2 linked regions of the Bombyx mori genome follow. The protein of the gene in region 1 binds, or shares a complex with, the protein of each later gene. Links are inferred from orthologs where the notes say so. Each region holds a gene or a part of one and is shown on either strand. Other genes may lie near its edges.

Evidence for each region.
Region 2: F-box only protein 11 (region 1) and cullin-1 share a complex: the UniProt entries of both Homo sapiens proteins name them as parts of the SCF(FBXO11) complex. The link is inferred for Bombyx mori from reciprocal best matches to the Homo sapiens genes FBXO11 and CUL1.

What each region holds. Positions count from the first base shown.
Region 1 is NC_085131.1:4,818,524-4,827,460, reverse strand, and holds the end of F-box only protein 11, read left to right. Parts: intron 1-142; coding exon 143-448; intron 449-1,163; coding exon 1,164-1,344; intron 1,345-1,999; coding exon 2,000-2,147; intron 2,148-2,681; coding exon 2,682-2,780; intron 2,781-3,590; coding exon 3,591-3,720; 3' UTR 3,721-5,382; downstream 5,383-8,937. Other genes in the region: rho GTPase-activating protein 11A, read right to left, coding at 6,707-8,258, 8,496-8,552, 8,891-8,937. UniProt on the Homo sapiens protein: Substrate recognition component of a SCF (SKP1-CUL1-F-box protein) E3 ubiquitin-protein ligase complex which mediates the ubiquitination and subsequent proteasomal degradation of target proteins, such as DTL/CDT2, BCL6, SNAI1 and PRDM1/BLIMP1.
Region 2 is NC_085108.1:4,460,578-4,464,812, reverse strand, and holds the start of cullin-1, read left to right. Parts: upstream 1-1,435; 5' UTR 1,436-1,771; intron 1,772-1,862; exon of another isoform or gene 1,863-2,069; intron 2,070-4,235. UniProt on the Homo sapiens protein: Core component of multiple cullin-RING-based SCF (SKP1-CUL1-F-box protein) E3 ubiquitin-protein ligase complexes, which mediate the ubiquitination of proteins involved in cell cycle progression, signal transduction and transcription.

The sequences.
Region 1 (8,937 bases):
TGAGTCACAGACAGGACAGTATTCTCTACTCTAATATAAAATAAACCTGTTATTGTTTAGTGTAATTGTTTTTTTTTTGTGAAAATAATATGTGGAAATATAAGAACAGTTGATCTATTTTATATAACCACTTCATTACTAGGTTGGTGTATACTTCTATGACAATGGTCACGGCAAGTTAGAAGACAATGACATATTCAACCACCTATACTCTGGAGTTCAGATTAGGACAGGCAGCAACCCTGTTATCAGAGGAAACAAAATTTGGGGTGGTCAGAATGGTGGTGTACTTGTATACAACGGGGGCCTCGGATTGTTGGAGCAGAACGAGATATTCGATAATGCGATGGCCGGTGTATGGATTAAGACTGATTCAAACCCAACGCTCAAGAGGAATAAGATCTTCGACGGACGTGACGGGGGCATTTGTATTTTTAATGGTGGGAAGGTGAGATTATTAATAGAGAATTTAGTTTATGTTTTGTAAATTTTAAAAACGAGATACATAATTTTTGTAGAATATTCAAGATTAAAATCTGATTTTAGCATCATGAATTGAATCTTAATCAGACAAATTTAGATTCAGTTGTAATAAATTAGACATTTTGTCCTTTAAATAAAATAAAAAAGCAAATGATGGAAGGGCGTTATTGTTTTCAATAACATATCCCTTGATTGAATTGATTTTAATCAATTAATCAAACACAAATTTGAAGTATAACAGTTTGCAGCAATAAATATAAAAATCCCAACCATCAGCAGACTTAACCTTAAAATAACCTAATAGATATTGATCTGTTTCTGATCTTACAATCTTTACAACTGGTAACTTAGTACTTAGCTTTAATCTAATCGTCTATGTATGTATAAACATACATAATATCTAATATCTATCTATAAATAGGCAAACACGAAACAGTTAAACACCATCATTTTCTCCTGTTTGTTGTGGGTGTCAGTAATTATATTGAAATTTCCTCCATAGTTGGTGATTAATTAATTGGCTTTGGTTACTATTTAACGTGAGCTCGTTCACTCATACAAAATTAAAATTTTATTTTTATTGTCATTACAATTAAATATTACATATTTAACAACAAATTTGCTGTATATCCTAGTTATGAAGTAGTAGTATCTTACAAAAATAAGCTATTTGTTTACAGGGAGTGTTAGAAGAGAATGACATATTTCACAACGCGCAAGCAGGCGTCCTGATCTCAACGCAGAGCCATCCAGTATTACGTCGGAACAGAATCTTTGACGGACTGGCCGCCGGTGTCGAGATTACTAATAATGCAACCGCCACCCTAGAACATAATCAGATATTTAATAACAGATTCGGAGGTAACTTCTTTTATATTCTTGTATACTTAATGCTTTGTCCTTTGAGAAGTTGTAAATGGGCTTTCTTATACATTATAAGTTTGCGCTCTTGCCATGTGAAATGTGCAAGAAATTTTCAAAATAGTTGAAGCGAATTAGATGTAGTTCAGTAGAGAAAATATGAAAGGAAATGCTTTCCATTGAATGGGGTGCATTATTCTGTAAACTGACTGAATGTTGTTATTTCGAACTTGTGTGTTAGTAGAAAATGTTTTAGCCCAATTGAGGTTTTTCTATCTATATTATATATATATATTAATGAATTGCTGTTCGTTAGTCTCGCTAAAATTTGAGAACGGCTGGACTGATTTGGCTAATTTTGATCTTGAATTATTTGTGGAAGTCAAGAAAAGGTTTAAAAGGTAGATAAAAATGAAAATGTTCTGAATTAAATAAAAATAGCAATTTTGTTTTTGTTTGTTTTAAGTTTATTTTATACAAAAGCTTAGGACTTTTATTTATCGTTTGAGGCACTACGAAGTCTGCCGGGTCAGCTAGTTCTGTAATAATTACCATTACAGTTAAAATATTGTTCAATTGACATAAAATATATCTTAAAAGAATATCATTAAATATTAATAAGACTGATATAAAATTGTTTTTTTGTTATTTGCAGGCCTGTGTCTGGCTTCTGGCGTTACTCCTTTAGTTAGGGGAAATAAGATATTCAGCAACCAAGACGCCGTTGAAAAGGCTGTCGGCGGTGGACAGTGTCTCTACAAAATCTCTTCTTATACTTCCTTTCCGATGCACGATTTCTATAGGTAAGAAAAATCATGGTCTCTGGATGAATTTTTCATTAAACTCTTTCTTGTAGGTCACTAAATTATATAATAGTTCATGAGCATTAAATGCAATCGAGCTGTGTCTATCAGTTATAATATAAACATCATTTTCCATAATTCAATGTAAGTTAGCAATTTTTAGTAGTTAAAATAGCCAGACAATCTTACAACTCAATTTGAATGCTGCTTCTTAGATTCCGCATCTTAGATTAGACCGAAATGTCTCGTGCATTAGTACAACAGCTGTTCGACATTTTAAAGCAGAATATTTAGATTACTTCGCGACAGAAATAACTAATGGTACTCACCAGCGCCGGTTTGGATCTAGAATTTAATATAGGGACTTTCGAAAATGATGAAGATATTCCTCTTAAAGACATATGATATGGGTGGTAATACAGATTTTTCGAATAAAACAACCGTTACGACACTGATACTTTTTTTTTTGTTGCCGTAGTTGCCGTAGATATCAGTCCTTTAAGCTGTGTCAACTTATTTTGTATATTTATTTAGGTGCCAGACGTGCAATACGACAGACCGCAATGCAATCTGCGTGAACTGCATCAAAACGTGCCATTCCGGTCATGACGTCGAATTTATTCGTCATGACAGGTAAGTCTATCTATAGGTCTATACATACATACAAATCTACGTAAAGTATTAGTTTTTAAGAGTAAATTCAAAGAAAAAAGAAGGGGATACAATAACAAAAAAAAAACGACCATTTCATGAATAAAATAATTCATATATTTCAGTTTTATTTTTGACCCCATCCACTTTGAGATACGAGATCTCAGATCTCAGTATAGTTACAACAGCTGCTCCACCCTTCAAACCCAAACGCGTTACTGCTTCACGGCAGAAACAGGTAGGGTGGTGGTACCTACCTGTGCGGACTCACAAAAGGTCTTGGCACCAATAAATAAATCTATTGGGATAGAAAACTGAAGTAATTTTCGAGATACCTTAAATACATTGTACGGTTTAGTATAAAGTTTTTTTATTTTATTTTTTCATTGCTTGAGCTCACTCCACTCAACTAACTAATAAAAAAAAAAGCATAACCATTTTGCCTATTTCTGCCCTGAAGGAATCATACAAACATAATCGAGACTTTTATCTCATCTGTTAAAGTCTCGTTTACATTGTTCAGTCTATGAGTTCTTGTGATCAATATTTTTGAAAATATATATTTTTTTATTGCTTAGATTGATGGACGAGCTCACAGCCCACCTGGTGTTAAGTGGTTACTGGAGCCCATAGACATCTACAACTTAAATGCGCCACCCACCTTGAGATATAAGTTCTAAGGTCTCAAGTATAGTTACAACGGCTGCCCCACCCTTCAAACCAAACGTACCCACACATACCCACAAACGTACGTTGCACGATTTAGTATAAAGTTTATGTTGTCTGTCGAAGGTTCTTCTGCGACTGCGGCGCGGGCACGCTCTCGAACCAGTGCCAGCTGCAGGGCGAGCCCACGCAGGACACGGACACGCTGTACGACTCGGCCGCACCCATGGAGTCGCACACGCTGATGGTCAACTGATGTCGCCGCCGCAACCCGCACTACTATTTTTTATTACCTAAAACTTCCTAGATGTACGTTCCTACGGGAAGTCGCCGATCTGTCCGGCCGTTTGTCTATATTCGTAATCGCGTTTCGAACGTTGTCGCTGTCTCTATGTGTAGTAAATTTTGTAATCGTCGGTACTTAAAACTTTGTTTCATCGAGTAGTAGTATCGTTGCATTCCCAAATTGTAATCGTACCGTTAGATCAAGATATCACGTTTAGAATAATGCTATTCATTTTGTAAAATTAACTGGTAGTGAGGTACGTAATATCGACTAGTTTGGATAATCGTCGATGTTTTATAATTATTTTGTTATCACCGGAAACTTTATTATTCCCATTTATTTACAATCTGAATGGCGACTCGCTGTCAGGACGGCTGAACATTCATCGATATAAACTGTAAATTTTATCTATTGACGACGATATACTGTATTATTTGTTGGGGCATTCGTTTGGCTATCCTGGCGGCGATGTTTTATCCTTGAGACGTTTTAGTTAATAAAGTGTTAGAAGTGCGCTATGTTTAAATTATGTAAGTTAAGTGTAGTGCGGCCGCGGTCGTGGTGGCACACGCGGCATCTAATTTCTCGTTTAGGAGTCCGCCTTGCCTAACTGTTTCGGCCCTCCTAATGCGCTTTGTAAATATTTATGTCACACAATAATCGAAATGTAGTAATTAATGTATTTGTATCATTATATTTTTATTATTGATCACAATATGTATGTTCGTTAATGTAAGTAACGGTAAGAAGAGTGGGAGCGAGACGCCGCTCGTCAGCTTCGTGTTGGTAAAAGACCACTATTACGTTGAGCCAGTAGATAGTGTGAAAGGAAATGGTCTCTGATATATATATATTCAAATTGAGTACGAATACACAATGCGTATTGAATTGGAGAAGATCTTAGGTACAATTGATATTTTTATTGTTAATTTAAATTTTGGTATTGATATGGATCGAAAAGCAATGCGTGAAACTGGAATGTGCCGTGCGTTAGCGGCCGGAGTGCTGATAGTGATAAGTTAGCCGATAAGCTATAAGAAATCTAAATTACTCAGTAATCACTATTGCAAGTTTCGAATTGTTAAATTATCCTCCATAGCACGGTCTGTTCTGATTCTGCTTTTATAATCCTCAATCTGTGATCATCGCTAAACGTGTTAGTGAACATAAACTTAGTTTAAAACCACGCGTATCAGAATTGACATTATTATTATTAGTTCGTTGAAAGGATAAAATGCTTTATATTATATATTTTGCTCCTACTAATACTGAGATAAAACGAGGATGAATTTACAAGGCAGTTGTTAATTACGTGATTTCTACTTTACATTTAAAAGGCTTAATGTTAAGAATAGCAAAAAATTATTAGTAAAGTTATCTTATACATTAAAGAGAACTTAAATTTTGTTTTCCATTTACCATTTTTTTTTCTTTTACCTTTTCTATCTTTTGTATTTAGCAATACTAATAGTGGTCAGGTGATTAACAACTTTCCGTTAAACTTTAATATATTTGGATGTAAAATTATTTATTAAATTGTCAGTATGTTTTAATTTATTGAACTCAGAACTGGATTTTTTCTACATGAGAATACTACTGTAAAAGCCGTGATATACATAATATAATATTATATATTGGCATTTTATTTACCCTGGCTCTACTTTTTCTTTGTCAATATATATTTCTAGAGTAATAATTTTTGTGATTAAGGGACGCGGTATATATGACATTGGACACAAGATAAATTCAAAATATAGAGATATTCGTAGAACCTCAAAACTAGATATTTTCTAAAGCCAACTATTTTATTTGTCGTTTTGATGTTAGGCTCATAGCTTCGCCCTTGCTTCCCAAGGCTTCAGGCTGTCTATGTATGAGGCATACAAGAAGATCGCCTTTCCGTACTGCCGATCACTGATCAGCTGGCGATCCTCAAGATACTTAAGGAGCTCGATGTTTATGATTCACTTCATCACCTTGCAAAGAAGGAATTTATCACGATATGACTGTAACTCGAGAGGTATGGACCCCGACCGAAGGAGGGTGTCTTCGGGTCTTTTTTTTACATTACCCTTGTAGGCAGACGAGCATATGGTCGACCTGATAAGGAGTGGTCACCGTCGCCCATGGACTTCAGCAATGCCAGGGGCAGAGCTAAGCCGCTGCCTAACGTAATCCGCTTAATGGTAAGTGGTTACCGTAGCTCATAGACTACTAACAAATACTTCAAACCATAGATTAAATACTATTTTTTAATTAATATTATTACTATTCTATCAATGCCTCATTTGAAGAAAAAACAGTATCGATGTCATTATCAAATCCTCATGAGAGTATTGAAGTGCTTGTAGGAAGAGATGTTGACGAGTTGTTTGAAATGATCCCATTAACTTCATTTATATCTCTCCCGAGCACAGTTCAACTATATCATAGATAATAACACTTCATATTTGCTATACTATATTTAATATAACTATTAATGTGATTTAACCCCTGTGCTCATGCGCTATTTCCAAAGATATTTTTTGCCACGTATCAACTGGCTTTGAAATTAAGTTTCTTCCGCAAGATATTTCCTGAGCGCTACCAAGTCCTTCTTCAGAGGTTTGAAAAAGTTGAAAGTAGCTTAGTTGAACCTCTGGCATTGCTGATGTCTGAACACTCGGTGGCCACTCACCATTAAGCATGTTTGTCTACCAAATCGCAATAGTGTTCATTCAAAACGCATCTAAACATGGATTGGTTGATAATGTAATTTTATGGTTGTATTATGAATTTAAACGCGTGATGTGTCACAATGTAAGATATATAGAAATGAAATAGCATGTATTCATTTTTATTTTAATACAAATCAAGATGAGTAGGTAAAGGTTAATTATTTATATATAATATGGCCACTTGATTTAAAAATTATCAAACAATAGTAACTTTACAATATATAATACTATTAAAATGTTTAATTGTATGTTCGTTGGAGTTTTTGTCGCGGTGATCTTCTTTTAGGTGATACATGTACTGCTTTCATCGGGGTATTGGACTTCTTTCCATCTGCAGACTGGACAATAGTTCTTGTAGTTTTACTGGTAATGAGAGACTTTTTTAGGGTTGGTATTTGTGGAGTTCTACACGTAAAGTTTGCCGCATTCGTTTGAGGAGAAGTTACTTTCTTGATTGGCGATGACATCTTATTTGTTCTCCATTCATTATATAGTGAAGACTTGGTAGGCACAAACGGCGCAGCGGGTATATTCTTAATACTTTTCACAGGTGTGATGGGTTCCTCACTGCCATGCATCTTAGGCCTAACAAGAGCGACAGCTTTTTGGGTTCTTATCGGTTGTTGACCACTAACCCTGGGACGCCTCGCAAAGCCGATATTGGCAACTTTTTCATTTCGTTCAGATGATTTATCAGAACTAGATTCGAATAATTTTGCTTTCGCAAGAACTGCTCCGGCGTTTTGCCGCCTGAGTTTGTTCACGGACGGCCTTCCCGTCGTCCCAGAGCTGTCAACTTCGCCGGTCTTGTTCATGAAGAAAGCGGCTGCGCTTCGCCATTTCTGCTGTATTGGACTCTTTTTAGCATATTTGTGTGTGTTTCGATCGACCACGTTTTGATAACAGGGCCTCTGTTCTAAGCTATTCGACTTTCCGCTAGAATCATGCGAATTATTCAACGAAGTTTCCGAAAGCGTATTTTCAAAACTATTATTGCTTGTTAAATTTAATGATCTTCGAGCTTGAATTTTACTAACAGGTTTTTCTCGATTATAATCTGGAGCAAGACTGGTCCGTTTCCTGAGATGATATTTTTTACTACTGTCAGAAGTATTATTGAATGAGTTGTCAGATTCCTCCCAATCAGTGATTTTAATTTTTGGCGTCGTTTTTGCGGGTTTGGCACTTTTCGTTCTTTGACGACTCAGACCGATGTAAGGATAAAACCTATCGGTGACGTGACTAGCTTGAGACTGTGAAGGCACATTCCAAGATTTGTGCCTCACTATTTTTGTAAGGTTTTCTTTCGATCGTCTTCGTATTGAGCCTATTTTCCTAGCACTCGGGGACCGTATAATTTTGGCTTCTTCTGTGGGTCGAATTTTAAGCTCCTTGCTTAATCTACGAGCTAAATTATCTGAACTGGGACAATGAAGCATTGCTACTTCTTCCAGAGTTTGTTCATACACATTCTGTACTTGCTGTAAAGGTTGTATACGTGGCTGTATTGCATCAGTGAATTCCCTTGAGAGTCTGTTCTCGATGGCGGAAACTCTACTTTTGATTTCCTCATATTCTTGTTTGGAAATTCTGACGTAATCTTTCTCTTGTTTCATGTCCGGTGATAAATCGATCGTGTTGTGAGCACTGAACAAATGTTCGGTGGATGTCAACAAGTCCTCGCTACTAATACTGGTTTCTGAATTTTTATGTGAGCTGAAATCTGAGTTTATAATAGGTGTACTCCTAGCGTCCATTAAGCTTAGCCGCAGTCTTTTCCTCTCGATTCCCCTAAAACATCAAATCAAAAAAATTTTATTCAACATAAATGAAAGTACATACTTGTTGAACGTCAAAAGAACTACCGCCAATTCACAAAAACTAGCCTCCGTCCTGAGCAGAACTGGCAAGAAACTCAGCGGGTCTGCCAGAAATGTAAAAAGTTTTGCTTCACGTGTGTTTGAAGGATATTTTTACTTAAACGTCTAGTAACTAGACTCTAGTTGTTAGTATACCACCATTACTTACATCTTCATGGGTGTAAAAGCTAATTCCTTTTGAGGTAGTCCATTGGTTATGTCTTTCCTGGAACATATGTGAATTTTAAATTAGATTTATTATGTTTTTTTTATTGCTTAGTTAGCTGGACGAGCTCACAACCCATCTGGTTACGAGTGGTTACGAGTCCATAGACATCTACAATGTAAATGCCGCCACCCACCTTGAGATATGAGTTCTAAGGTTTCAGTATAATTACAACAGCTGCTGCACCCTTCTAGTCGAAACGAATTACTGCTTCACGGCAGAAATAGGCAGGGTGGTGGTACCTACCCGTGCGGACTCACAAGAGGTCCAACCACCAGTAATACAGCATATTACAGCTACGTCGTCACTTTGAAACTATAATAAAAATAAGAACTTACCTCGTTTTTGCAGACAGTCCCTCATAATTATCGCACTTCCGTTTCGA
Region 2 (4,235 bases), on another chromosome or scaffold:
AATACATAACACTCAGAGAGTATTAACACACAAACGTATAGTCGATCTGGAAGTAAAAACATCGACCCTCAGGTAGCACTCAAGGGCACTGGTTACTGGGCCAGCCAGTCGTGGTCTGTTAAATTACTTTTAGATTAACTAAAATGTGTCACTGTCATTTTTGTGTTTGCAGTTTAGACCTTGCAAAAACAATCGTGGAATTCTGGCAGATTTGACAAGAGTTTCGCGCAATATTATTTATTTTCTGTAGTAAATATTGTAGTAGAAGCACGCAGATCACACGACTACAATATTTACATACACACGAGAACTTTAACTGGGTTCCTAAACAAGTAAAAACCATCAACTTAAGTTCAACAGTATGTACTAGGATCTTCGAAAAATTCGAAGATCCTAGTACAATTTTAGAAGTATTAAGGGTCATAACAACCTTTTCATTTAAAAATATCTTCTCGAGACCATTCATTTAACCTTTGTTAACTTTTGTTAGAAAACAAAACTAAGCAGGGACTGTAATACTCTTAGCTAATCTGATAACCAATTGGATCAATCGACGAGTGGTCTACAGATAATCTGCTCATCTAGAGTAAAAATATTATTGTTCATTCACCAAAATTAAATGTTTTCATCACAATTTCAACATGAAAAGCTTTGCGGTGGGGAAGGACCTGGCTTGGTCAAGTATTTCTGTGGGATATATTCTTAGGTTAATAGTTTTATTGATTTGTCGTAGTTGCTCATGCAGAAAATTTACAAGCTTAATTACCTGAGAAATCAACATTTCAGTACCTAGGCATTGAAACCAGTACACAGATTTATTTAAAAAGCTGGAGATTCCTGCACTTTAGTCTGCATAGGTAGTCCATTAACATGATTTTTATTGTTGTTAATTGATAGAAAACATGGTCTATTTAACAATTAAAATAGTATATTCAATATTTTTATTGGCATACATACAAATGTTACGTTTCTGCCCTAATTAATTCATTTCTATTTATGTTTAATCTACTTGTGTTCCAGAGTCCAGAGTAGCATAAATCTGAATTCACTAAATCCCCTCTGAGTGAATTTGAACGCATCAATACTCAAAAAAGTAACGCCACCTAGCGTCACAGTAGAGTGAAAATGAACACGGTTTTAAGAGTTGCCAGTGCGGATACTTTTCGTCTGATTTAAGGTAATGTGGGACTTTTATGGACAACGATGACGATCGGAAGGTTTTGCGATTGCTATTTATATCTATCATATCCTTGTTTAAAAAAAATCATTAACTATATTAGTGATTGATTGATATTACTTGGTTACTAGGCAGTTTAATGCAAAAGCAATCTTTGGAGAACACCAAACTGAACGCAACCAGTCTTGCTGATTTACAAGGAAATTGAAGTCTATCAAATTGTTTTTTTCAAATAAATTCAAACATCGTTAAAGAAGGCTGACATGTAATATTATGGGTATATGAAAATAAAGTTTTATGGCATAATAATAAAAAATCCTATAAAATCAATAAGGGTTTGGGATTTGTCTAATTTATTTACCGGCAGCACTGCTTCAGTTTTGTTCTCTCTTTTCACTGTTGTTTCTTTTTATTTGAAGTGAGGATGAAATGGTCCAAAATAACAAGGCCTACATGTGTACGTATTGCCGAATTGAATAAAATTTGATGAATCGTGATTGTAAATCGTGGTATAATAAAACAAGCTCAATCGTATCGCATCAAGTACATAAAAAAGTGTAATGTGGTCGATGACAGCGTGAAAACGGGTGCTACGTAAGTATAATCCGATCAATTTACATACCCATTTTAAAACATATCAAAACTAAAAAAATTCGGACGCTTTACGGTAGCGTTATTTCATATCTGTCATGTCACGCTGTGACTGTCAGTGAATTGTCAGGTAGGTAGTCCAAATTACAGAATACAGATGTAGGTAGGTACTTACCTACCTACCTGAAATTGTCAGGCAGAAACCAGTCGCAATATAATGATTAAACGTGTTTGAAATAGCTCATTTAGTGCTTTTAATGTAAAATATAGTGCCATTAGGTTTAACGGGAAGACTAAGCAGGTATGTTGTAATTCAAAAGCTTGAGAGATTATTAAAAAAACACGTTCTCGGTTGCCCTTGTTTGTGTTGCAAAATCTCGATTCCTTTGTCAGATCCAACAACACTTTTACTTTTCGTATCGTTTTTAGCCTTTAATTGCATTTACTTATTATTAAATTCATAAACTCCATGTTAATCTCGCACATCGTTATGCGCAGTTAAGGAAAACGGTAATTTGTTTTTTTTTTTTGTTTATGCTAATAAGACACAGTTTTCTAGTTGAACAAACAGTTATCGTTCAATGAGCACAATACACAACAAAACGTATGTCTGTTATGTCTTCCTATGCTTATCTACACTTTTTCTTTTAAATCTGTTACCACCTGCTTTTTGTTAGTGGCAATATCGAGAAAATAACTAGGTCTTGTTATAAGATTTACATAAATACTTTGTAAAATATATTACATACGAAATTAGAGGTACCAATAAATACTATGTATGTAATATGTGTTACATATGAAATTATAGGGATTCAGTGATGTAAGTTAATAATGGTTGTGCTCAAAGTAAAAAAATATAAGTAGAGTTCTGATTTTGCACAATAAATACAGGAAATGGAGTGCAAAGTGGCTATTTCCAAGGCTAAATGCCCTAAATGTATCAAATCTCTTGCCTTAAATGTAAGTTACCAACTATATTGATTGACTAAATCAAGCTAAGCAAATTCATCTCTTTGTAAGAATATACTTCATGAACTTGTGAGGACATCCCAAGTAGTAATTTGGGAGTTTCTACAGTTGTTCCTAAAGATCATTATTACTTCAGAGCTATGGCATATATTTTTCAAAAGTAATTTAAAGGCAATTCACAATGCTTGTGGCATTGTTGTTCTCTAGGCAATGATAAGGATAAAGATTAATAATAATGATGTTTAAAAAAAATACAATACAAAGAAAAGTTTTTAGGCAGTCTCAAGTAAACGAATATTACAATTCAGTTGGTGCTGTATTTACATGTCGAAATTCATATGAGTATTAGGAAATTGAAATGATAAGTTCTTTTCACGAAAATAATTGCACAACACAAAAAACAATGAACGAAATAATGTACACGTGCATGTAATGTGCTCTGTTTGCTATTCTCTTCAAAATAATAATTGCACAGGAATAAAATAAAATAAATGTATATAAAGACAAATTTACTGAGTCTGCCTTGCGGATGAACTCTCAACTATGTCTATTTGAAACTGGGTATCGTGATATTGAACCCGTACGGTAGGCAGCGGCTTGGCTCTGCCCCTGGCATTGCTGAAGTCCATGGGCGACGGTAACCACTCACCATTAGGAGACCGTATGCCTACAAGGGCAATAAAAAAAACATACACAATTGCATAAATTAAGTTGACATTGTATTGTTCTTAACTTTCTTTTGTTCATCAATTTCAAATCTTATTGTTTTTTTATCAAAATTGCTTAGGAATAGTGATGGTTAGTAAACTAGTTAGTGTCTAAGCATCTGGACATAAGACTGAGCGATGCACTTCACTGTGTGACTGACAGATTTTGATGCTCAGTATTGAGTGAACTATTGAAAGGGAGAAATTTAGTGACGGTTGTATTGCATACTTGTTCATCTAAGCTAATTGACTACCTGAGAAAAAATGTTTTGTAGTGTGAGGCAGGTTTTTTGCTTAGTATAGCTATTGCGAATCTTAGCTTATCTTGGTTGTGTAGTTCATATTAATCAAGTTGTAACCATAGTACTTCTATTCTATGATAGCTACTGCTACATGTATATACTGCTTCATTTTATTACATTTGCCTCAAATGCTGAGGTCTCAGAAATGTGTAAACATATACATATCGACGTTTGAAAATGCGTGAATTTTACAGTAGACTAATTTAAAGTTGAAATACCTGAAAACAAAATTTATTTTAACGAATCTAGCTGTAGTAGAATCTAGCTAGTAGCTGTAGGATTGAAATAATTTTAATAGACCTAGAAATATTTTTTTTTTTCACATCGAATATGGTTATTGCTTATCATTTATGTACAAAGTAGTTATTGTCGGTTAGTCATGTTTGCCTTTCAAGTGTCGATATTATTCACTAGCGCCTAAAAATCATATTTGAAGACTTAATGAAGATGTTTGGCTTCTGCAAGTGCACCATAATGTACAGGCAGTAT